3 linked regions of the Lytechinus pictus genome follow. The protein of the gene in region 3 interacts with the protein of the main gene of each other region in a pairwise test. Links are inferred from orthologs where the notes say so. Each region holds a gene or a part of one and is shown on either strand. Other genes may lie near its edges.

Region 1 (7,534 bases), on a different chromosome or scaffold from region 3:
CGTAACGTTGGGGAAGTACAATAAGAAACAAGATGGCGGCGTAAACATCGGGCAAGTCTCTTCCGTCTTTTCACAATATTTTTTCATTTTTTGGATGAATTCTTGTTTTAAAAATAACATCGAGAGCGTAGAAATGTCGGAAATTAAGTTTTATCCCATGTACATGATTTAGAGCTAGATCTTTTAGAAGGAAATTAGAAATCTCGGGGGTGAAAGTTTCAGGTTTTGGCTTCCTTTGTGTGGGTCTATGAGATAGAAGGCCTGGCTTCGTATGAGAGTAACCTTACGTTAGTAAATGATTTTTACTCTCTAGAAGCCGCCTGGCTAGGTCAAACACGGTCCCTTGTACGAGGTTAGTATAGCATACTAACCTCGTATTAGTGTGAGTGAGGAGGGCCCTCCATCGTACACATCCAGATCCAGCCACTATCGACCACCTAATCTTCTAAGCATCGTATCTGCAAAAATATTCATCAATTTTACCCAGTTTTCGTCTCATTTGTGCAGAAAATTGAGCAGATCAGATTCCCGTGTTTCGCTCGGCTACTCCGATTCAATCCGCGTATATATCGACGAACAACGAATACGACGATTTTGGGCAATTCCATAGGTTGGTGGACATGAGCTTAAAAATTCAAATTCAATATTTTCTTGAATTTTTAAATACTTTAAGTCCTTCATACATGATAGTTTCAGGAACAAAAAATAAAAAGTTTATTTTCATATGTATACTTTGGAAAAAAATGGTCAAAAGTTGTATCTTCCATTCTGTACCAAAATACAAGAAAAATAGTGAAAAATGAAATATGCCTTATTACCATTTTGTTATTGAAACATCATACCACTTTATATATTTTTGAAGTTTAGAAGAGTCAAATTACTTAAAATACACAACAACTTTTCAAGTAAATTTGTAGTACTCATTCAAAAAAAAATATTGAAACCTGCTCAGGTGATGTAACGTGAGTAACCAAAAAAAATGACTTTGTTTTCTGAGCGAAAAATTCTTCGCAGTTAACTGGTGGGATTTTAAATTCTCTTCCTTCAAACAATCTTTAACACGGTGATGACTATCAAAATCATTAAAAAATACAATTTTTTATAAAAATGATGAAGAAAAACTGTAACGTGAGTAACTGTGTAACGTGAGTAACCATCATGTAATGTGAGTAACCAGTAAAAATTATGCAGTTAGGTAATATTTTCTGTGGGATGTCAAGTTTTAAGTCTCATGGTGAGTTGTGAAGTTATTTTTGATTAATTAAACGCAAAATGAGGGTACACCTCTTTGATGCGACTCTTTTTTGTCATAAAAATATCAGTGGTCATACATGTACAATCACACAAAAAATTGAATACTAGTAGAAGTATTCACAATGTGATTATGCTAATTTATGCAAAATAAGTAAGCAAAATCATACTTTTCCCTCTTACTCCCTAAATAAAGCTCCAATTGTTCCAATTTTTGGTATAAAAACTCTTTTTGGTGTTCCTAGCAATGAATTTTACACACATTATTGAATTTTTAGTGACATTTTTGTTGTTAACCATACATGGACAAAATGTAACGTGAGTAACCGTAACGTGAGTAACCACTTTATCTGCACCCCTAGTAAAAACCTTGTGTTCTTTATTTTTTGAATTATATACAAAGTTTGTCTCCCTAATATACTTCTTTGAAATTGATATAATCAACTTTCATAAAAGCCTTGTATGAGGACACTTTTCACTTAAGTCGACTTTTCATTATATGCATGTCCAAATCATGTAACGTGAGTAACCGACACATTTCAAAGATTTGCCAGGAGCATAATAAAATTTCCCAAGTTTTTTTTTTATACAAAGGATAGTCAGACTGTGTACTTTGCTGTGATAAGGAGATGTTTAGTTCCTATCAATAATAATGGAGCTACAGCTCCAAGTATGAGTCAAGGTGTCTCCAAATGTAACGTGAGTAACCGTGGAATAGCCCTTTTACATTTGCTCATTTGCACCCATCTTTTGAAACCGACCAACCGCGTCACGCTAAGTTTACGGCCGATTCTTGTCGCGGTGGCGAAATATTTTTACTCTTCAAAATCAGTTCTATGATGTCAACATGCTAAATTATCGTCTCACTACTTCCACTGCGAGCTCCGGCACATGATTCGACGATTGACGACGGATATTTGTTCTAACTTCTAAAGCTGTTTCCTATCGGATTTCTTGGTTTTTCAGCGGGGTTTGGGTCTGGTCAATACAATTTTGATTAATTCTCCTAAATTTTTACTTTTTGTTGCTTCTTTTTTTCTCGTAAAATCGATTCTTACCGTTTCTATGGACACTGCGCCTACTCTCCCGCGCATATCGTTTGTAATACGCAATAATTTTAACGCGTGCAAGGTGGTCGGTTTCAAAAGAGGTGGTTGATATGTGGTAGTCTCACCATACTAACCTCGCAATAAGGTAGTCACAGTGTGAGTGCAGCCGGTGTAACGTTAGACATGTTAGTTACTAATGTCTTGATATATAAAAATTAAAATCACAACAATTTATGTGATTTTTATATTAAAAGATGGATTTCCTTGGGGAATCCATCTTTGTTTACATGTGTCTCTTATACATAGGCCTATATGAGGGCGGTTCAAGACTCCAATGATGAAGAAGTATATGTCAAAGTATTTAAAAAAAGACATCATCATGGAGTCCTCAACTCTCAAGGCTCAAGACTAGATGAGTAGGTCTCACACACAATACGCCAAACTTCGCATACGGGACTACATAAGAAATAGCCTATCCCTAGCAAATTAAAACGTATTTTTCACTAAATTTCAGTCACTTAAACGCTTACCTTCTCCAATTTTTTCAAGCCTCTCATATTTTTGCATTTCCAGATCTCTTGGCACCAGAAAACAGCATTCATCCACGGTTGTTTATACAAGACCGCGGTTTTGGCTGTGATTGGGGTCTGAACATAGAGATGTATACTAGTATACATCTCTATGGGTCTGAATTACAATTTTGATAATGATAATTGAGCGCGCGCGCGCGCAAGAAATCCGTTAATTTTTTTTTGTAGGCCGATTATTTGCAGAAAAGTTATGAGCATCGAATCTCGCACGCACCATATATTTCAGATAAAAAGTTTCACCTATAATTATGTTTCGATTTTTTTTAATACGACATAATATGAAAAAAATTATTCTTCTTTTTTACAAAATTACCAAAAACATGAAAGTTCATCAATATTTAGAGCAGCAATGGTCGAATAAAAACAGGGAGATTATACCTTTCTAGACTCTAGTCATATGACTTGGATGGATAAGGAGAATATGTCAACATGCAATAAACAAAAACAATAACAGAAACAAAACAAAAGCAAAACAATAGCTAAAATAAAAACTAAAGCAAAACATAAACCTGTAGTGACTTGACTATATCTTTTTATATATCTACATCTATATATTCTTTCCTTGTATATATTTTCATTTATATTTCAACATTCTGTATATGTATATAAATTCTTTCTTTTATTTCCAATTTCATATATTCTCACTTGTTCACGCCATGTGTATGTACTACAATACTGTACATTCACAGAGCAAGCCAACTCATTTTCTGTCCAAATCTACTTGGCAAACACATTCTTATATTGAGAAACAACCTTTCTTTTGTTCCTAGACTTGGAGCAAACATCCTTTCATTGTTCCTTGTTTATTGCAATGAACTTGCAGGTATACAACATCACTACAAGATGCTTGCATGTTTGCTTTTCTCACAGTCTGCTTCTCTCCTCTTTGTTCTTCTCAACTGTGTTTTGCCCCTTTTTGGCGCTTATTTCTTTGTCTCACCTTTTCTGATGTTGGTAAAAACAACTTGTTTTCTCCATCACATCATCACTCTACTCTCTGCCTTCGTCCTGTCCACTCATGCTGACCATCTCATCCAGCTGCTAGTGAGGATTGAATCAAATCTTGTGGAGGATCAACTTATACTTAATTATTTCTCTGCATTTTCCAATCTTATTCCTTACCGTCACTTCCACTCATTCGAAGTCTATATTCTCTGCATATTTAATGAGCTCATTACTTCGCGAGACATTTTGTGACATCTATCCCTTTTTTCTAATCTATTTGAAATTGTGAAGTGTATATATTTCTATTCACGGATTTGTGCAATTTATCTGAGATTCTGAGCGGCTGGATCCCATTCTATCTTCTGGCGAGCAAGAATTAAGGTAGGACCTAACTTTTATATAAATATTAGGAGATCGGCTTTGCCAATTTCCTAAAAACCAAAACAGTATTCACAACGACTGCCATATCAGGCCTTTTCCACAACCTGCCCTCTCAAAAGTTCAAATTTGGCACATTACGACACTGATAATTTGACTGGTAAAATCATGGACCTATTACGAATGGTAAAATCTATCTATACAACCTTCACGACGACGCTTCACGACCGAGAATACCATCCGATCCCGCCCTCCAAAAGTCCTATGTTCAGGGGCGGATCCAGCATTTGCCAATAGGGGAGGGGGGGGGGGGTGTAGATTGGGGTCAGAATTAAAGGAAATCGGGTGCTAAAAAATTGTTTTTGTGTGTGTGTTTTGTTATGTACGCGTTTTGCTTTTGCTTTTTTTAGAGGGCAGGGGCGGATCCAGCCTTCGCCAATAGGGGGCGGGGGCGGAATTTTTTTTTCAGCCATATTTTCACCGATCGGCCTCTCGAAGATGATTTTTGGTTTCTTTGAAAGTCACTAATAGTCACTTCTTAGCTATATTCTTATAAATTTACATAACATAATGGTTAGTCGCGTGCATTTGAGTGTCCGAAAGGTCCGAAATTCCACACACACAGCTTGAAGAAGTACTCTCCCAAAAGCGTACACGCTGTCCTGGAGAGGGTTGTGCTGTGTCAGGTGCTGCCAGTGCTTCAGGTGATGTGGTGATCCTGTGGTGGTATTCTTGGTGCACTATATACAGTGTGCTAGGTGCAGTGTGCGGGTGGTGCGTGTGTGTCCCTCTTACAGCATCTTAAGGGGAGGGGGAGGCAACATTTGCTGAATGATAGGCAATGTTGCTCCCCGGAAGCCAGCTATAGAGGTCGAAGTTACAGCAGCGTTTGGGAGAGTATTCCAAATACGGATGGTTCTTGGGAACATACTGTACATGTAGCAGTTCACTCTACAAAAAGGCTGGGTGTACTTGAGCTGATGTCCAGTGTGTTGTGAACGTTGTGGACGAGAACTGCTGCTTAACTTAATCTGATGTGGCATGTTGATGTAAACATAATTGTGATGAATTTTGTAGAACATCTCACATTGGCTAAGAAGGCGTCTGTGTTGGAGAGTATCCCAGTGAAGAGTTGACAACATCGATGTTACACTGGATTCTCTGCTGTAGTCATGAAGGACAAACCGAGCACCCTGACGCTGAATGTTCTCAACAATGTTTACATCTTTCTGTATGTGAGGATTCCATGCACATGAAGCATACTCAAGTTGAGGTCTGACAAGTTGCTTGTACGCAATGTCTCTCACTTTCAGGTCACATTTACCCAATGCTCGACGTATGATTCCAAGAGTACGAGCAGCTTTGGAGGATATCTTCTGTGCATGGGAGTTCCAACTCAGGTTGTCTGTGATGGTCACACCGAGGTATTTACAGGAGGTTGCCGTTGGAACAGGTTGGTCACTGATGGTAAAGTTGCAAGCCAAGGGTTGTCGTTTCAATGAGATACACATGTGGGCACACTTCTTGACATTGAAGGACATATCCCACAGTTTTGCCCAATCTGATAATGTTGAAAGATCTCGCTGGAGAATTGCGTGGTCAGCTCTTGTCTTGACCTTGCGATACAGCACACAGTCATCAGCAAAGAGTCTGATTGGTGATGAGATGCATTCACAGATGTCATTGATGTACAGCAGGAATAACACAGGCCCGAGTACTGAGCCTTGCGGCACGCCTGAGAGTACACTGGCTAGTGGTGAGGATGTTCCATCAACATGAACTGACTGAGATCTGCCTGATAGAAAAGCTTGGATCCATCCATGCATTTGACCAGTAATGCCATAATACTCCAATTTGTAGAGCAGCTTCCTGTGTGATACCTTATCAAAGGCCTTACTAAAGTCAAGAAAGAAGGCGTCTGTCTGACATTGCTGGTCGATGTTGTATGCCCAGTCATTGATGGCCTCAACAAGTTGCGTTTCGCATGACAGTCCCTTCCTAAATCCATGTTGGTTTGGGTTGATGATGTTATTCTTTTCCAAGTATTTTGACATGTGGCTCAATACAATGTGCTCTAGGATCTTGCAGCAGATGCATGTGAGTGACACCGGTCTATAATTGGCTGGGTTACTCTTGTCGCCAGACTTGTAGATGCTGGCCACTTGAGCTCTTAGCCAATCACTTGGAAGAATTCCCTCATCATAGGATTGTTGGAAGAGATGAGTAAGGACTGGGCTAATCTCATCTGCATAGTCTCTTAACATTCTAGCAGGTATTTCATCTGGACCACTGGCTTTGTTGGTGTTAAGTTCTTTCAGTTGTTTATTCACTCCTCGTAAGCTGATGAAGAGATCTTCAATTGGTGTGTACGGTGAGGGACCCTTGTCTGGTAGTACCGATGAAGTATTATCATGTGTAAAAACTGAAGAGAACTGAGCATTTAGAGCATTAGCTTTCTCCTCATTGGATACATAGGAAACATTTCCCACTTTTAAAGTTGGGATTCCTACCGACTCTCTCCGCTGAGCTTTGACGTACCTCCAGAATTTCTTTGCGTCAGTCATAAGACTTCCTCCAACAACATTTTGAAGGTATTCACTGTGAGCTGATTCTTTTGCTCTTTGAACAGAATTTCTCTTTGTTTTGTATGTTTCCCAATCTGAATGTGACCTTGAACGTCTTGCCTTCTTGTATAGCCTGTCCCTCTTATTCATTTCCCGTATTATCTTCGAGGTGATGTACGGGTGGCTTGTCTTGGGCCTCGAGTTCCTGTGGGGAATGTGAGACATGATTGACAAAAGAGAAGTCTTGAAGAATATCCAATTATCTTCTACAGAGATGTCTTCAGGAGATCTTTCAAAGTAGTCATATGACATCTGAGAGCAGCGCTCCTTAATGTCTTGTTTGTCAGCTTTGTCATACTGGTATATTCTCCGCACTGGTTTTCTTTGGAGTTTGGGTCGCATATTGATGTCAAACAGGGTGATGTCATGGTCACTGATCCCAGGTTTTGTTTGGGTATTATTCACAGCATCAGGTGTAGTTGTGAGTATAAGATCTAAGATATTTCCAGAGGCCGGTCTTGTAGGCTCCCTACCCATCTGGGTTAAACTACATCCATTCACAAAGTTGAGGAAGTGAGAATGAATTGCATGAGTTCTAGGATTCGATGTTACAACTTTACACCAGTCAATATCCGGTAGATTAAAATCTCCCGCTAGGACTAAAGCAGGCAGTTTCCTGTGCTTTCGAAAGATAGTACTGATGCTACCTTGTAATTCGTCAATCACCTCATCCTTAGAACCGGGTGGTCTGTAGAAG
Region 2 (7,765 bases), on a different chromosome or scaffold from region 3:
GGTGAACTTCCCCTTCAAGTTGCATGATCTTAAGGATAATATACTAACTCACCTTCACCCAACTTTTCTATCTTGATAAAATCTTCCATTATTTCAGAATGAAATCACACACAGTCCAACAGGATAAAAATGGGTCTCTATCTGCAAGGGGGGGGGGGGTCATGAGAGAAATTAAGAAAAATGAATAATTAGTGAATTCAATACTGGTAATTAAAATCAATTTTAATTTCAATTATAAGAAAATTTTCATTGAAATGTATATGGTTGGAACTACCCCTTATCGACCACCTAATCTTCTAAGCATTGTATCTGCGAAAATATTCATCAATTTTACCTAGTTTTCGTCTCATTTGTGCAGAAAATTGAGCAGATCAGATTCCCATGTTTCGCTCGGCGACTCCGATTCAATCCGCGTATATATCGACGAACAACGAATACGACGATTTTACATTTGCACCCGTCTTTTGAAACCGACCACCCGCGATACACTAAGTTTACAGCCGATTCTTGTCGCGGTGGCGAAATAGTTTTACTCTTCCAAATCAGTTCTATGATGTCAACATGCTAAATGATTGTCTCACTACTTCCACTGCGAGCTCCGGCACATGTTTCAACGATTGACAACGGATATTTGTTCTAAAGCCGTTTCCTATAGGATTTCTTGGTTTTTCAGCGTGGTTTGGGTCTGGTCAATACAATTTTGATTAATTCTACTAAATTTTTACTTTTTGTTGCTTCTTTTTTTTTCTCGTAAAATTGATTCTTACCGTTTCTATGGACACTGCGCCTACTCTCCCGCGCGTATCGTTTGTAATACGCAATAATTTTAACGCGCGCAAGGTGGTCGGTTTCAAAAGAGGTGGTCGATATGTGGTAGTCTCACCATACTGAGAAGTCGTGTCAACATTTTTATATGTCTGCAGACACTTGACCATTAATTGTACCATGTTATGAATGCCACGCTTGCTTCTTGCACTCATTCAATGAACAAGGTTATGATATACCTAACCTTGTTCTCAGTTACATTTCCATGTGTGGCAAAAAAAGGGTGGCAATGTTTGGCTTATTTTCTCTTTTTCTTTGGGACAAATGCTTGATTTTTTTACACTGTCTGTTTCCATTACAGCTATTCATCATATAACTTGGCTCTTAGTAAATTTGATTCTTTAAATTATTTTTTCTTAATTGAAAATAGAGATTGAAAAATGAAAATTTTCTTACCAATACCATATTACTTTCAACCAATAGAGGGCGTACACAAAAATATGCCTAAAATTTAAGTTTTTGAGCACTCTGGTAAATACAAAAATTATTGCCTGGGTACTAATGAAAAATAAATTGCAACTGTATGGAAATTAGTAATTTTGGTCACAAAAGTGACATTTTAATGATTTTTTAAAGTGTGTGCTGTGTACAGCATTGGCATACCATAGTCCTACCCACTCACACGTATTGCGAGGTTAGTATTAGTATACTAACCTGAGTCCTACCTGTAGATTCCCCACAGGCAGGATGGTTGCAGTGAACAAGTTCTTGGAGTAAATTTCAGTCCAGTGATGCATTAGAATTGAAATCAATTTGAGGCACTAAACATTCGCAGGCCTGCCAAGTCCAAGAATTGAAGAGGCGATTTGAACGAACTTAAAACTACATGTACCATAACTTTCTTGTTACTGGGGCTATTGATATAATTGAAATGAATGAGGTATTAAATGAAAGGTCTTAATTAATGAGCTCTAAATGATGCTATGAAGCAAACACCTCATTTCTCAAATTTATTTTTCTTGCAACTACATGTACCTACATCATGGGTCACCATTTTTTATCCATCTAAATAAAATTTACATTTGGCTCGAGCCTCGGTTTTTCTAAGAAAATCATATAAAGTTGGGTCCTATTTCTCTTAAAAGTTCATGAGATTTTTTGGGACACTTACTTCCCCAACGTTACGCGATCGAGACGGGGGTAGAAGGAGAAAACTTTTCGTTTTTTGAGGTTCCAGTCTGTGCCCAGATGTCAGGAAACTGCCACTCGTTAGACCTTCATCCAGGTAATCGTGGTAAGTGCATAACTTCTGTTTTCACAATTTATTTGGACTATGAGTATGATGAGTGGAGAAATATTTAGACCATAATTCACCCTAGTCACGTGAGTATGGTCAAATACACGGTAAGCCCCTGGGCTCCCTGGGTTAACCGGTACCCAGTTGTTGTGTGTCCGGACAGGTGGTGTGTCCGGACGCTCAATTTAGAACGTCATTTGGAAAAATTTACAAGTGAAGTTTCATCAATTTTTATTACAAAATGTTAGGAAATATTATAGAGAACAAAATAGAAGATGATTACAAGTACTGAATTCATATTTTTAGTGCAATCCAAAGACAAAAAAGAAGGCTTCAAAAATATAAAGTGTCCTGACACCCGACCCCCAACCCCCCATCCTATTTCCTAAACACATCATCACATTCACAGTCACACTGTCTGCACAACTGCCACGCACTTTTGCAGTAAAAATAAATAAATTTGACGTATTTCGTACTCAAACTTGCTTGCATTTCTAATATATTAGAAGAGAATAGTATACTTACAGTTAAACTCCTCTATTGTTACGTGTAGAGTCAGAAAACTTGAAATTCTAACGTTACTTTGATCGGCGAGTTGAGTCAAAGAGTGAGTCGTAACGTGTAGCTGCATCAAATATTGCGTGTAAACTGAATTGCATGGATAGCATATAGCGGATATATCGATGTTGATAATGTTGTAAAAGCCGCGGCTGTTCAAAATAACCAATGGGCATCGCTCATTCGCATGACGTATCCCCAACTGCCTTGTGATTTATCCAATGAAAGGTAGTGAACTGTGAGAAGTAGGCGGAGTCTAATCGGCAAACCATGCATGCACAATTTCAACCGCATGATGGCAATATTTCAAAAGTTAGAAGAGATGTCAGTCCCTTTTGTCTTGGCCCGGTAAAATTAAATCAGTACTGCCACAGCCTACAGGTACAGGTGCGGTTATATACGGGGGAACTTAATTAACTCAAACCCACCCCCTCCCCCCAAAAAAATGACCACAAACAATTTAATGCTGATGAGAAAGCAAAATGCGTGATATTTCTATTACAGTTTTAGTTCATGTCATATATTTAATTTTTAACAAAATACAAACCATGCAGGAAAATACAGTTTGGGTTTCGATCATGACTTTGTATTTCTTATTACAAAACTTTATAATACAGTAATTTTAGATTACAAAATAGATCGATAATCTTTCAGACAATACAATATCTCGTTCAACCATCATCTTGAAAGCCACTCTAAAAAGAACTGCATTTCATAATCCAAATAAGCATACTCGCTCACATAACCAAATTGCTAATTATTATTCCTATTACTCAACTGCTGTCTATCCCACTGGGCATTTTACCCGATATTACCCGGGTTGTAACAGGTAATAACGTAGTTATTACCACGGTAACACCAGTGGGTAGTAACGGGGAAATAGTAGACCAATCTTTCCCCGTTATTACCCGGACCCGATATTACTCCATTTACCCAATATTACCCAGTATGATGTAACCGATATTTCCAGTTATTTTCATGATATTACTGCCCAATATTACTCCATTTACCCAATATTTCTCAGTATGATGTAACTACTATTTCCAGCATTTTAATGATATCACCACCTCATATTACTCTGTTTACCCAATATTACCCAATTAATGTCGGCTCATTAAAAAAACAATTAGTGTCATTAGGGTCATTGAAGCACATTTTTACAACTCCATACTCTAAGCCATATCATCTTATCCTATCCTAAAATCCTACATCCTAATCCTAATCCTATCCTACACCTATCCACCAAACCCTGTCATTTACTTCTATATATTGAGCGAGTTTACAACACTTGACAAATTATGGTTAACAATTATTCAACCCTAAAACATTTTTCTAAAATTAATGTCATGATTATGACTAATATGATATATAAACTACACATTTTTCTGAAAATGTTCTGGGTGGAATAATTGCATAAACATAAACACATTAATTATTACAGCTATATTAGCTAAAATTTTGGCCATTTATTGTAGTAATGAATATTCATGAGTAACTAATATTCCCAGCATTTTCCTGATATTACCATCTGATATTACTCCATTTACCCAATATTAATGGGTTCCGCATGGGTTGGAGGTCTCGTTTCCATCTTAGTCCTATCTGGGCACCATGTGGGTTCAAGTATATGTTTTCATCTGGGTTCCATGTGGGCCCTTATGGGACCCAGATATCCCAGATAAGAACCGTATGTGATCCAGATACTTTGCTGTCTGGGAATGGAAGCGTTTCAACATTACCCATTACCCCTTATCAACCTGTTTGTAACTGGGTAAAATGTTGGTTTCATCAGGGTGATAACAGTAATTTTTTGGACTTTGAAAATTTCGCTGGGATTGCTGTAAGATTGCTCTTATTACTAAAGTTTGCAATGTTATAACCAATCAAAGTCATTCAACATTACCCTTATTACCCCTCATCACCCTGTTGTAACTAGGTAAATGTAGGTTTCATCAGGGTGATAACAGTAACAGGTATCAACAGGAATTATAATTTCGGTAATAAAATGGTAATAACGGTAATATTTGGTGTTACTCAAATTTCCGGGTGATATTACCGGTAATAACCGGTAAAATTGGTAATCGGTAACAAATTGCCCAGTGGGATAGACCAGTTCGTAGTTACTTCTAGACAATTATGGTCAAATGACCTTTCATTTCTTTCATTATGATAGGCAGATTTCAAAGCAAGATATTACGTAAGCTTGCCTTACATAGCAGGATGAAGAAATTGAATAGACCAGGTGACTAGAATAGCACACCAATGAACACTTTATGAAGGTATTTGTTGCATTCTTACTTTGAATGCATATCATACTTCATAGCATGTTGCACGATGTACTTGGCAAACTGTGAAATACCAGTCGTTTGTGGACGCATTGTTGTTTTTTGTGGATGTCAATGAAAAGCACAATTCAAAAGAATATATGAATAATCAAGACATCAAAGTTGGTGCTTATCTCATTAGATTCAGTACAAATGACCTTCCTCCGATCATGCGTAGAATCTTTTGATCATGCGCAGAAAGGAACTACGAACTGGCTTATTGCATCTGCAACCTGCATTGCACCGAAGGCTTGATCATCATTCTTCATAATTTATGCCACAAATTTCTTTCTTCATGAGGCCGCCATCAATGCTTGCTTTCCTATGCAACCTTGCATTGAATAAACTTTAATTGCATTGAATTAGGCCTATAATATTCCTCATGTTCAACATTTCCATAAAGGACCCTATCCTAAAAAGTCCACTTACGTTATTTTTAGAATATTGCAATTACGTTTCCAAGAAAACATTAAAACAGAAATGAATACTACATGTTTTACGTGATATAAAAATGTTTTCTTGACAGAACTGCATTACTTATGTTGAGCACGGGGGGGGGCAATCGCCCCTCCGATGATACAGAATTGTCCTCAAGAGAACTAAACAATTGATGCGAGCGCGAAGCGCGAGTGGAAAAAAAAGGGAGATTTAGACCTTAAAAAGGGACACTCTATTCATGCTTTGCAGTGGCGTACCTGGGATTTTTCACAGGGGGGGCAAAACCGTCCGCCAAAAAATTTGACAAGCAAAAAAAAGGGTCTTCAATCACAAATGAAGGATTTTGTACAAGAAAAAAATTGGACAAAAAAAAAAAAAAAAAAAAAAGGTCTTCAAGCTCGTCAGGGGGGCAATAAAGGTCTTCACGCTTGTCAGGGGGGGGGGCAGGGATACGTCCTTTGCATGGGTTGTAGCTCGTCAGGGGGGCAGACTGCCCCCTCTGCCCCCCCCCCCCCCCCCGTAGGTACGCTAGTGATGCTTTGTAAATCATGAAAACTGGGCAATTGGGTATTTTCCTACATACATAATGCGAGCGCGAAGCTCATGCCATTTTTTATATCCTGATCTGAAACTGGATAATTTAAGCACGTTTTAAATAAAGAACAACTTGCATGTCTCAATAAACACGCTTGTGCGTATTATAGATTTAGACCAAGAATCTGGGCATTCTAAATACATCTTTATTATGAAAATCAATAATGCGATCGTGAAGCGCAAGTTAAGCGCTATTTCAAGCACTGTGTAGGAAACTTGTGATATGGATATGGATTGCACTCAATAAATGTTGCGAGCGCGAGCTGATATTTTCATTATCATTTTGACATAGGACCGAACATTCGTCATCATATGAAAATGATGACCATCTTCCTGTTTCTCTTCTTAAGTGCGAGATGAAACTTGTCGATATTCTTTTCTGAAAAAGGGACACTTTAATTATATAGGAATTCTTTAATGTTATTATATTTTTCATTTATCTAATGTGAGCGCGAAATTTGTTGTTATATGTCAAGGCCTGAAAACTGGACATTTTTAGCTCTTTTGTAATTATGAATAGGATGCGTCATCTCATAGGCGGATCCGGGGGGGGCGCCCCCCCCCCTATTGGCGGAGCAAAAACAGGAGAAAAAGGGGAAAGAAAGAAAACAAATAAGAAAAAAGGAGGGAAAAGAGATGAGAAAAAAGAAGAGGAGGAAGACGAGTGAATAAAATAAAATGAGGGGAAGACTTGGAAAATAAAAAGAATCTTTCATGTCACTATATAAAATTTTCGCTCGCGCTTCGCACTCGCATTGCCTGTTAGGTGAGTTTAAATATCAAGTTTGGAAGTTAATATACAAAACATATTACACCACGGAAATCGAACTTTCGTTATTTTGTGTGATTTACAAATTAATTTTTTTTTAAGTGCTCTGTAAAAATGTCACTTTTATGGTCTGAATATTAACATTTTCTGCTCGCGCTGCGCGCTCGCAAATTTTGATTTATCAGGTACCTATTCTTGTCGTGTATTCCATTAAGTTTTCAAAATATCCCTTTTCAGGTCTGATTGTCAAAATTTATCAGCTAGCGCTGCACACTCGCATTTTGATTGGCGAGTTATGTATGTCTCAATATTGATTATACAACAAACTACTTAAAATCCCCTTTTCATGACAGTTTATCAAACATTTTGGCTCGCAATTTGCGCTCGTATTTAATGGTTAAAAATATATTGACGGATGCATCCTTTTTATAATTACAACAATGCTCGAATGTCCAGTCTTCAGGCCACATTATCATCAGATTTCGCGCTCTCAGATCATCAGGCATTAGTGAATAAGATATTAATTTAATAATCAAATTGTCCCTTTTGTTTCATCTCGCACTTAGCAAGAGGAATAGGAAGATAGTCATCATTTTTATATGATGACATGTCCTAAGGATGTCCCGGTCCTATGTCAAAACTCAATGTAATAATGATGAAAAATATCAGCTCTTTATTAAGTACGATTCATATCCACCTCACAATTTTCCTACAAAGTGCTTGAAATATAGAGCTGAAATTGACTTTTTTCAGATCGGAATATCAAAGATAAGATAAAATAATATCAAAGATAAAATATTATTTAGAATGCCTAGATTCTAGGTCTAAATATGAAACACGTGCGCGGATGTTTATTCAGAAACTCAACTTGTTCTCTATTTAAATCATCCAGTTTCAGATCACGATATCAAAAATTTTCTGCTCGCGCTTTGTGCTCGCATTATTAATGTAGGAAGATCCCCTATTACTCAGTCTTTTCATGACTGAATAGAGTGTCCCGATTTTAGGTCTAAATCTCGA
Region 3 (7,836 bases):
GGGGGGGGACGAAAGGCTAGAAAAATAAACTTGTGCCTTTTTTTAATGTTTTCTTTATTTTTTGGGACCAGTAGATTTTAGGTTCGGACCAGTAAAAATTTGAAAAACTGGGTATCTACTGGTCCGACATGAATAGGTTGGACCAGTAGAAATAATTGGTTAGTGTGGAGCCCTGGCATATGATTTCTTTGGTTCCAGCAACTACCCCTGGATGATAATCCCCCACCCCCCAACCCTCGGACAATTCCCCTCCCCCATCCCCCCACCCACCCTGGACAATTACCCCCCCCCCCGGACAACTACACTGTACCCCTATCGAAAAATCTACACCTAACCTAACCCTATTTCGGGGGTAATTGCCCTGTGGTAGGTTTGTGCACAGGGTAAACATGACTTGATATTGATTTTCTTTGCTTGAACATTAGAAATTAAGTTTTCAATGAATATAATTTGTAATCAAAGAAAGAGAATTAAAATAATAATCTTAGGATTTCTAGAAAAAAATAAAAACAGATTGATTTTAATTGTCTATTATCTCATTATTTTCTTGTTATTATGGTCTCAATAAAATTGTTGATATCATTATAGTCTCATCATTGTTTCATTATTGTCCCAATTAGTATTATAATTATAATAATTATTATTATTATGATAATTATTTTTGTTTCATTAATATTATTTTCTAAATAATTATTACAATTATAATTACTATCATTATAGTAATTATAGTTATAATTATTCAATAATAATAATTATTATTGAAATAATAATTATTATTGTCTCAATAATTATAAGGCCTATAATTATAATTATGATTATTTTTATAATTATAATAATTTTTATAATAATAATAATTATTGATGACTTATCAATATTACTGTCTCAGTAATTATTACAAGTACAATTATTTTCATTATAATTATCATTATAATCATTTTATGATAATTATTATTATTGTAATAACAGTTATTATTGACCCAATAATTATAAGGCCTTTAATTATAATTATGATTATGTTTATTATCATAATAATTTTTATAATAATAATTATTGATGACCTTTCAATATTACTGTCTCAGTAATTATTACAATCATAATTACTTTCATTATAATTGTTATCATTATAATTATGTTATAATTATTATTATTGTAATAATAGTTATTATTGTCTCATTAATTATAAGGCCTATAATTATAATTACTATAATTATAATTATTTCTACAATTGTATTTATTTTAATTATAAGTATTATTATTATGATTATTATTGATATCTCATTAATATTATTGTCTCAGTAATTATTACAATTCAAATTACATCATTATAATTGTTTTCATAACAATTATTTTATTATAATAATGATTATTGTAATACTTATTATTGTCAATAAATACTAGAATTGATGTCTCAATAATTATTACAATTATAATTATTATCATTATAATTATAATTGTTATCATTATAATCATAATGATTATTATAATTGTCGCAATGTTTATTGTCTCATATTATTAATGTATCATCACTGTTAATTGCCTCATTATTGTCTTCTCTTACTTTTTCATAATATCTTCAAATTAATAATTAACACCAGAACAAAGGTCCATAAATCAGATATCAAATTCATAAAACACATCTCATGTATGTAAACCGATTTCTAAATTAAATTCATGCAAGGAGCTTTCTGTGCCATTCAAAAATACGACTTTCATTAACAATACCATATTCTAGACATTCAGACGCATTCCAACAAAAAAATCACTTATCAAACAAAATTCTTGAAGTTTACTTGCAGCTTTGCTCTTAAAACTTATTTCACACGAATTCTACAAAATTATTTTCAAAATAACAATTTGATTTTCATAATTAACAGAGCTCAAATCGTAATTAAAAAAAATATACAACGGCTGAAACATACTGTGTCTGAATACCAAGACTAATCTCAGGCCCAACGCAGTGGGGATGACGTCACTCACACGCTCAAAACAACCCTGCTCGATCGGCCGAGTCAGATTCACAAACACCCCATGACACTCAAAACTGAAGCTCATATTCGCAAACTCTCTACGGACCAAATTTGATTAGAATTTCACAAAATGTTCTCAAATATACAATTTTATTACTGACCGAGTTTACAAGGGATCCGATGATTACAAGAAGGTGATTTCAAGCAAAGAAAAATAAATACCTGAATATTAGGTCCTTCCCTCGCATGAAGGTAAGGGAAACTCTGTCTTGTATATTTCCGATGTTTACTGAAGATGTACGAAGCAACCGCGGGAATTTTTGACCAATCAAAATCAGCGGAATAAAGGAAGAAACTGACTCTGTCTTTTCGAGCAATGCCGAATGCAACTCCAGCGCTCGGCCAAAGTGCCGAGCGGAGCGAACTGTGTGTGTTAGATAGGCGCTCGCCATTCACTGCAATGCAAAAATCTACGTCTAGCGCTGTGTCCGCGCGATCGCCCACCCGACTGAAGTGCCTATTTGGACTCTTGGAGATTCCTAGGGTCCAAGGTAAACAGATATATGTTCCATATACGCTGTCATTCTGGTTTAGGAGGTTTGAACCATGTCAGTACAGAATACATCAATTTTGTGGAGGAAAAAGAGAATGAATGAATCATGAATCATGATTTTTACTCCCCATACGCCTCCAGGCTAGTAGGGAGTACCGGGTACGGGTGCCGAGGCCAGCCCAGGGGAAGTGCATTATTGACTGAGCCAGGCACAGGCACAGCCAGTAGTACCGGTACTGTGCGGCAAAATACCGACGCATATTTGCTCACAAAATAATACACGAAACGCTCCTTAGTCAACAGATTAATCTTTAAAAGAATACACTTACCAATGAGAACTTTGCCAAAAGTTTCCTGCCATTTTTATAGCGAAAAACCTCCAATTAATCAATAAATAACGACTTTTCTCGCTCCTGCTCTTTGTGTCAATTGTAATTGGTGTAAATTGTTAATGGTGTTTCTGACGAAGCAAAAAAAAAGGAAATACACAGAGCGCAGTCACCCCATCCTGAATCCCCGCCCCCGTAATTCAGTGAAAGTTTTTGCTGTCATAACAGGGGCGGCGGAACATACTTTCGTTAGGGGGAGGGGGTCGGGCAAAGCCAGAAAAGGCACTTATATGTCAAAATGGGCATTTGGTGCAAAAAGATATTTTCACCATGAGATTATCCCAACCCCAGATCCCAGCTAGCAAACTTACATTGGGCCAACGTTGTAATATAGGGTATTTATACTGCGCACATATCCACCTTTTTAGGTGCTCAAGGCGCTCCTATATTACCCGGCTAAGCTAGGCGTTCATAGCGCTCACAGCTTCTTGAGGAATAACTTCCTACCGGTACCCATTTACCTCACCTGGGTTGAGTGCAGCACATTGTGGATCAGTTTCTTGCTGAAGGAAATTACGCCATGGTTGTGCTATATTAAGGTCGGGCAAATGTCGAGCGATGCATTGGCCCAATTTATTGACGTTGGACTGATATTAAAATATCCGACCTGCCAACGGTCAATTTTAAAACATTGAACCAGCATAAAATTGTAATGTTGGACCTTTGTAAAATTCTAATATTGGCCTAACATCATTTATTGACGTTGGACTAATGTTAAAGTATTTGCCGAGCCAACATCCGATTGAGGACATTGAACCAACATCAGATAACAATGTTAGGTCTATCTATAAAATGCCTCCAAAATTGTCCCAACATCATTTATTGACGTTGTGCTAATGTTAAAATGGCTGATCCGCCAACGGTCAATTTGAAACATTGAACCAACATCAAATTGTTAGAGCCGTGTAAAAAAAAGTGTCCATCGAGCCAACATCAATTAAAACGTTAATTGGGCCAATATCAGACAATAATGTTGTGCTTGTGTATGATTACAACATTGACCCAACATCATATATTGACGTTAGGCTAATCAATGTTAAAATGTCCACCCCGCCAACGGTCAATTTTAAAACAATAAAACAATTATGAACATCAAATTTAATGTTGGATCTGCGTAAAATTCCAACATTGGCCTAACATCAGTTATTGACGCTGGGCCAACGTAATCCCTACGTATGGCAATCATAAAAACATTAATTAGTTTCAAAGTGAGGGCCACTTTTACACTCTTATTCCCTAATTGCTTATCCTATTCTACAATCCTATATCCTAATCCTAACATATCCTACACCTATCCTGCCAGTCATTCCTATTTATATATGACGACTTTGCGATACTTAGAAAATTGCAGTTAATAACAGGTTTCTTTATTTAACCTTGAACATTTCGTCTATGAATTATCTATTTTATGAAAATGATATGGCGACAAAGCTACATACTTTTGTGAAACTTATGAGGGAGGAATAATTGCGTATTACGTTATTTGCGGTTTAATTGTTACAAAATTTTGGTGACTAGATAATGAATATTCATGAATGCCTAATGAAAGACAAAGAATATGTCAACATTTGCTCAACTTCGGTCCAGTTTTGGCATTACGTTGGTGCAACGTCATATTACCAACGAGACCAAATTTACATTGTACTTTATTCCTTTTTAAACAACCAATTAAGCAACAAAAAGGATTCAATTCAATTAAAAAAATTATCTTTATTGATAATCAAACATGTTAACAATCAAAGATGAAAAGACAGCAATTAAGAGCTGGAAAATCATGTTTACAAGTTGGGTTTGGCACAATTAAAGATTCCAACGTTGTTACCATCATCTCAATGTCCAACATCTTTCCAACCTTACATATCCCAGTCTTGGGTGCTTCAACGTATCTCCAGCGAAACAAGCTTCCAACATTGTGTCATCATCATCTGTTCATTAACATTCCAACCTATGGCTTCACGATTTTGTTTTTAATAATCACAACTGATATTACTTTCCTTTCATTTCTCTCTCTTTCGGTTGTTTCTGTTACATATAATTCCTTCACCCCCCTCCCGCCGGGCCGCCCCCTCACTACCTTTTCAATGGGTCTGTGGGCTTTTTCGGATCAGCTAAAGCCTCTTTCTTCCCTCTTCATTTTCCCTTTATACTCCTCTTTCTCTTCCCTTTATTTCCTTCTCTCTTTCTTTTTCCCCTTTTGCTGAGGGAGGGGGGGGGGGGGGGTAAGCAATTAATCTCCCGGATCCGCGCCTGGTTGTCCAACAACTCTCCATAACCAGTTATTTTTTCCTTATGTCATCGTTGTCTGCCAGATTATTGAATGTGTTGATGGCAACACCACAACCAGTGGTCGGCTTATTACACATGAGCGACTCTTAGAATTTAAACACAAACTATTGAATGTTGATTGGACTCCTGTTAATAGCAATACTGATGCAAACAAATCGTATGATTTATTTATACATTTATTTTCCAAGTTGTATAATGATTGTTTTCCTGTTGTTCAGAGGCACAACTATAAGTTGAAGGGTAAAAGACCATGGGTCACACCTGGTATACTTAAATCCAGTGGCGTACCGTGGGTCATGGCATTGGGGGGGGGGGCACCAGCAAAAATTTTGAGTCACTAAGTGAGCGCGCGAAGCGCGCCCAGTTGCCAGGTATACTGACCTGAGACATTTTAAGGACAGTGCCATTAAATGGATATGTCTCTCATTTGTCAAATAATGCGAGCGCGAAGCGCGAGCTTAAAATTTTTGATATTCAGACCTAAAAAGGGACATTATCATCAATCTTTTGTAATCAAATCATGATACGTACCTGTCTCACTAAATAATGCGAACGCGAAGCGCGAGCTGAAATTTTTGTAATTATTGACCCCAAACAGGAAGATTTTAAGGACTATATATTTTAGGAATCCATTAAGAGTATACACATCTCACCATAGTCATCTGATGCGAGTGCCAATAAGCGCTTGCTGATTTTGTTAAAATTACATCTAAACATGCGCATAAAGCACTTGGAATCTTGATTAACATACCCATCTCACTAATCACATCTTGCGAGCGCGGAGCGCGAGCTGATAATTTAGGAAATTCAAACCTGAAGAGGGGCATTTTAAGGCTTGTTTGTAAGAATTCACGAAGACCATACGTAGTTCACTAACCAAATAATGATGCGAGCGCGTAGCACGAGCTGAAAATTTTTTAAGGACCGATTCTAGGAATTCATGGAGAGCAGACATATTTCACCAATCCACTACTGCGAACGTAAGCACGGACAGGAAATATCTTATATTAAGATTACAGGATTTCGGTAAACAGACAATGCGAGCACCAGGAACAATGAAGACATAGACCCTGAGCAAATTATGTTTCATAAATTTATGAAAAAAATGTTTCTTATGTAATATAACAAAACATAATTATGATATTATGACATAATGATATTATGATATAATATAACATTATAATGAACAATAATGTATTCTTTCCCACAACGTTTTCTTCCTTTCTCCCTCTTTTTCTCCTTTTCCCCGTTTTTTTTTTTTTTTTTTGTCAGCCGATTGGGGGGCACGTGCCCCCATGCCCCCCCCGTAGTTACGCCACTGCTTAAATCAATTAACGTCAAACAGAAATTATATCATAAATATTTGAAGAAATCTGTTAGTAAGAAAAAATATGTCACATACAAAAATATACTTACTACTATTATCAGATCGTCTAAAAAAAGATATTTTCATAACAAGTTTTATAAGATCAAAGGTGACATGAAAAAAAAACTTGGAATAATATCAATGGGTTATTGGGGAAGAGGCGACAAAATATACCACTTAAAATGTATAATGATAATGTTCATATGTCCTCACCTCGTGTGATCGCAGATTCCTTTAACCATTACTTTGTCAATATTGCTGAAAGAATTTCACATAATATACCTACCTCTTCTCACATATTTCATGACTTCTTGCCTGTTGATAAGAGCTACTTTTCATTATTCCTAAAACCTACATCTATTCATGAAATTCTAAAAATTTCTCTTCTATGAAATCATCAAAAGCTAGTGGGTTTGATGACTTGACCCCCAGAGTTCTTAAGGACTCAATTCATTTATTTGTTGAACAACTTTGTGCAATATTTAATAAATCCTTATCACAAGGGATTGTTCCTGACAAATTAAAAATATTCAAAATAATACCTGTTTGGATAATTATAGACCCATATCACTATTACCATTTTTTTCGAAAATGTTAGAAAAGATTATTCACAAAAGATTATATTCCCACCTTCAAGCAAATGATATCCTCATACCAGAGAAATTTGGATTTCGTGAAAATTTTTCAACTTCCATGGGTGCATTAAACATTGCAAATTTTATATCACAAAAAAATGATGATGGCAATTATTGTCTTGGTTTATTCATGGATCTGTCAAAAGCTTTTGACACCATTGACCATGACATACTCTTACGTAAACTGAATGCTTATGGTGTCAGAGGGTTAGCGTTAGATTGGTTCAAACATTATTTGCATAACAGATATCAGTTTGTCATGGTCAATGGTGTCCAATCACAGCGTAAACTTATTAAATATGGAATTCCGCAAGGCTCTATTCTCGGGCCCCTCCTGTTCCTCGTATACATAAATGATATTACAAATTCTTCAAAATTATTCCATTACTCATTATTTGCTGATGACACTTGTATTATAAATTCTCACAAGAATATTTATGATTTAATATCTATTACCAATAAAGAAGTTAACAAATTGTATGATTGGTTCTGTTGTAATAAACTTTCTTTGAATTTTGATAAAACTAAATTTACTATTTTCAGAACAAGGAAGAGGAGGGTTCCAAGTGACCTCGCAAATCTTACTATTGGTCATGATATATCATGTGTTGAAAATATTCAATTTTTAGGTATTACAGTT

What was found. The genes of interacting proteins can lie anywhere in the genome.
Region 1: the proteins of cyclin-C-like (region 3) and cyclin-dependent-like kinase 5 interact in binary tests that used the Drosophila melanogaster proteins (3 or more experiments, as listed by UniProt). The link is inferred for Lytechinus pictus from reciprocal best matches to the Drosophila melanogaster genes CycC and Cdk5.
Region 2: the proteins of cyclin-C-like (region 3) and cyclin-dependent kinase 1-like interact in binary tests that used the Drosophila melanogaster proteins (3 or more experiments, as listed by UniProt). The link is inferred for Lytechinus pictus from reciprocal best matches to the Drosophila melanogaster genes CycC and Cdk1.

Annotation. Positions count from the first base shown.
Region 1 is NC_087257.1:1,754,275-1,761,808, reverse strand, and holds the start of cyclin-dependent-like kinase 5, read right to left. Parts: upstream 3,016-7,534; 5' UTR 2,868-3,015; coding exon 2,831-2,867; intron 1-2,830. UniProt on the Drosophila melanogaster protein: Probably involved in the control of the cell cycle. Interacts with D1 and D3-type G1 cyclins. Possible regulator of neuronal differentiation and/or development.
Region 2 is NC_087262.1:20,372,319-20,380,083, forward strand, and holds the start of cyclin-dependent kinase 1-like, read right to left. Parts: upstream 3,016-7,765; 5' UTR 2,588-3,015; intron 142-2,587; 5' UTR 90-141; coding exon 53-89; intron 1-52. UniProt on the Drosophila melanogaster protein: Plays a key role in the control of the eukaryotic cell cycle. Required for entry into S-phase and mitosis.
Region 3 is NC_087260.1:4,723,165-4,731,000, reverse strand, and holds the start of cyclin-C-like, read right to left. Parts: upstream 3,021-7,836; 5' UTR 2,882-3,020; coding exon 2,850-2,881; intron 1-2,849. UniProt on the Drosophila melanogaster protein: Component of the Mediator complex, a coactivator involved in regulated gene transcription of nearly all RNA polymerase II-dependent genes.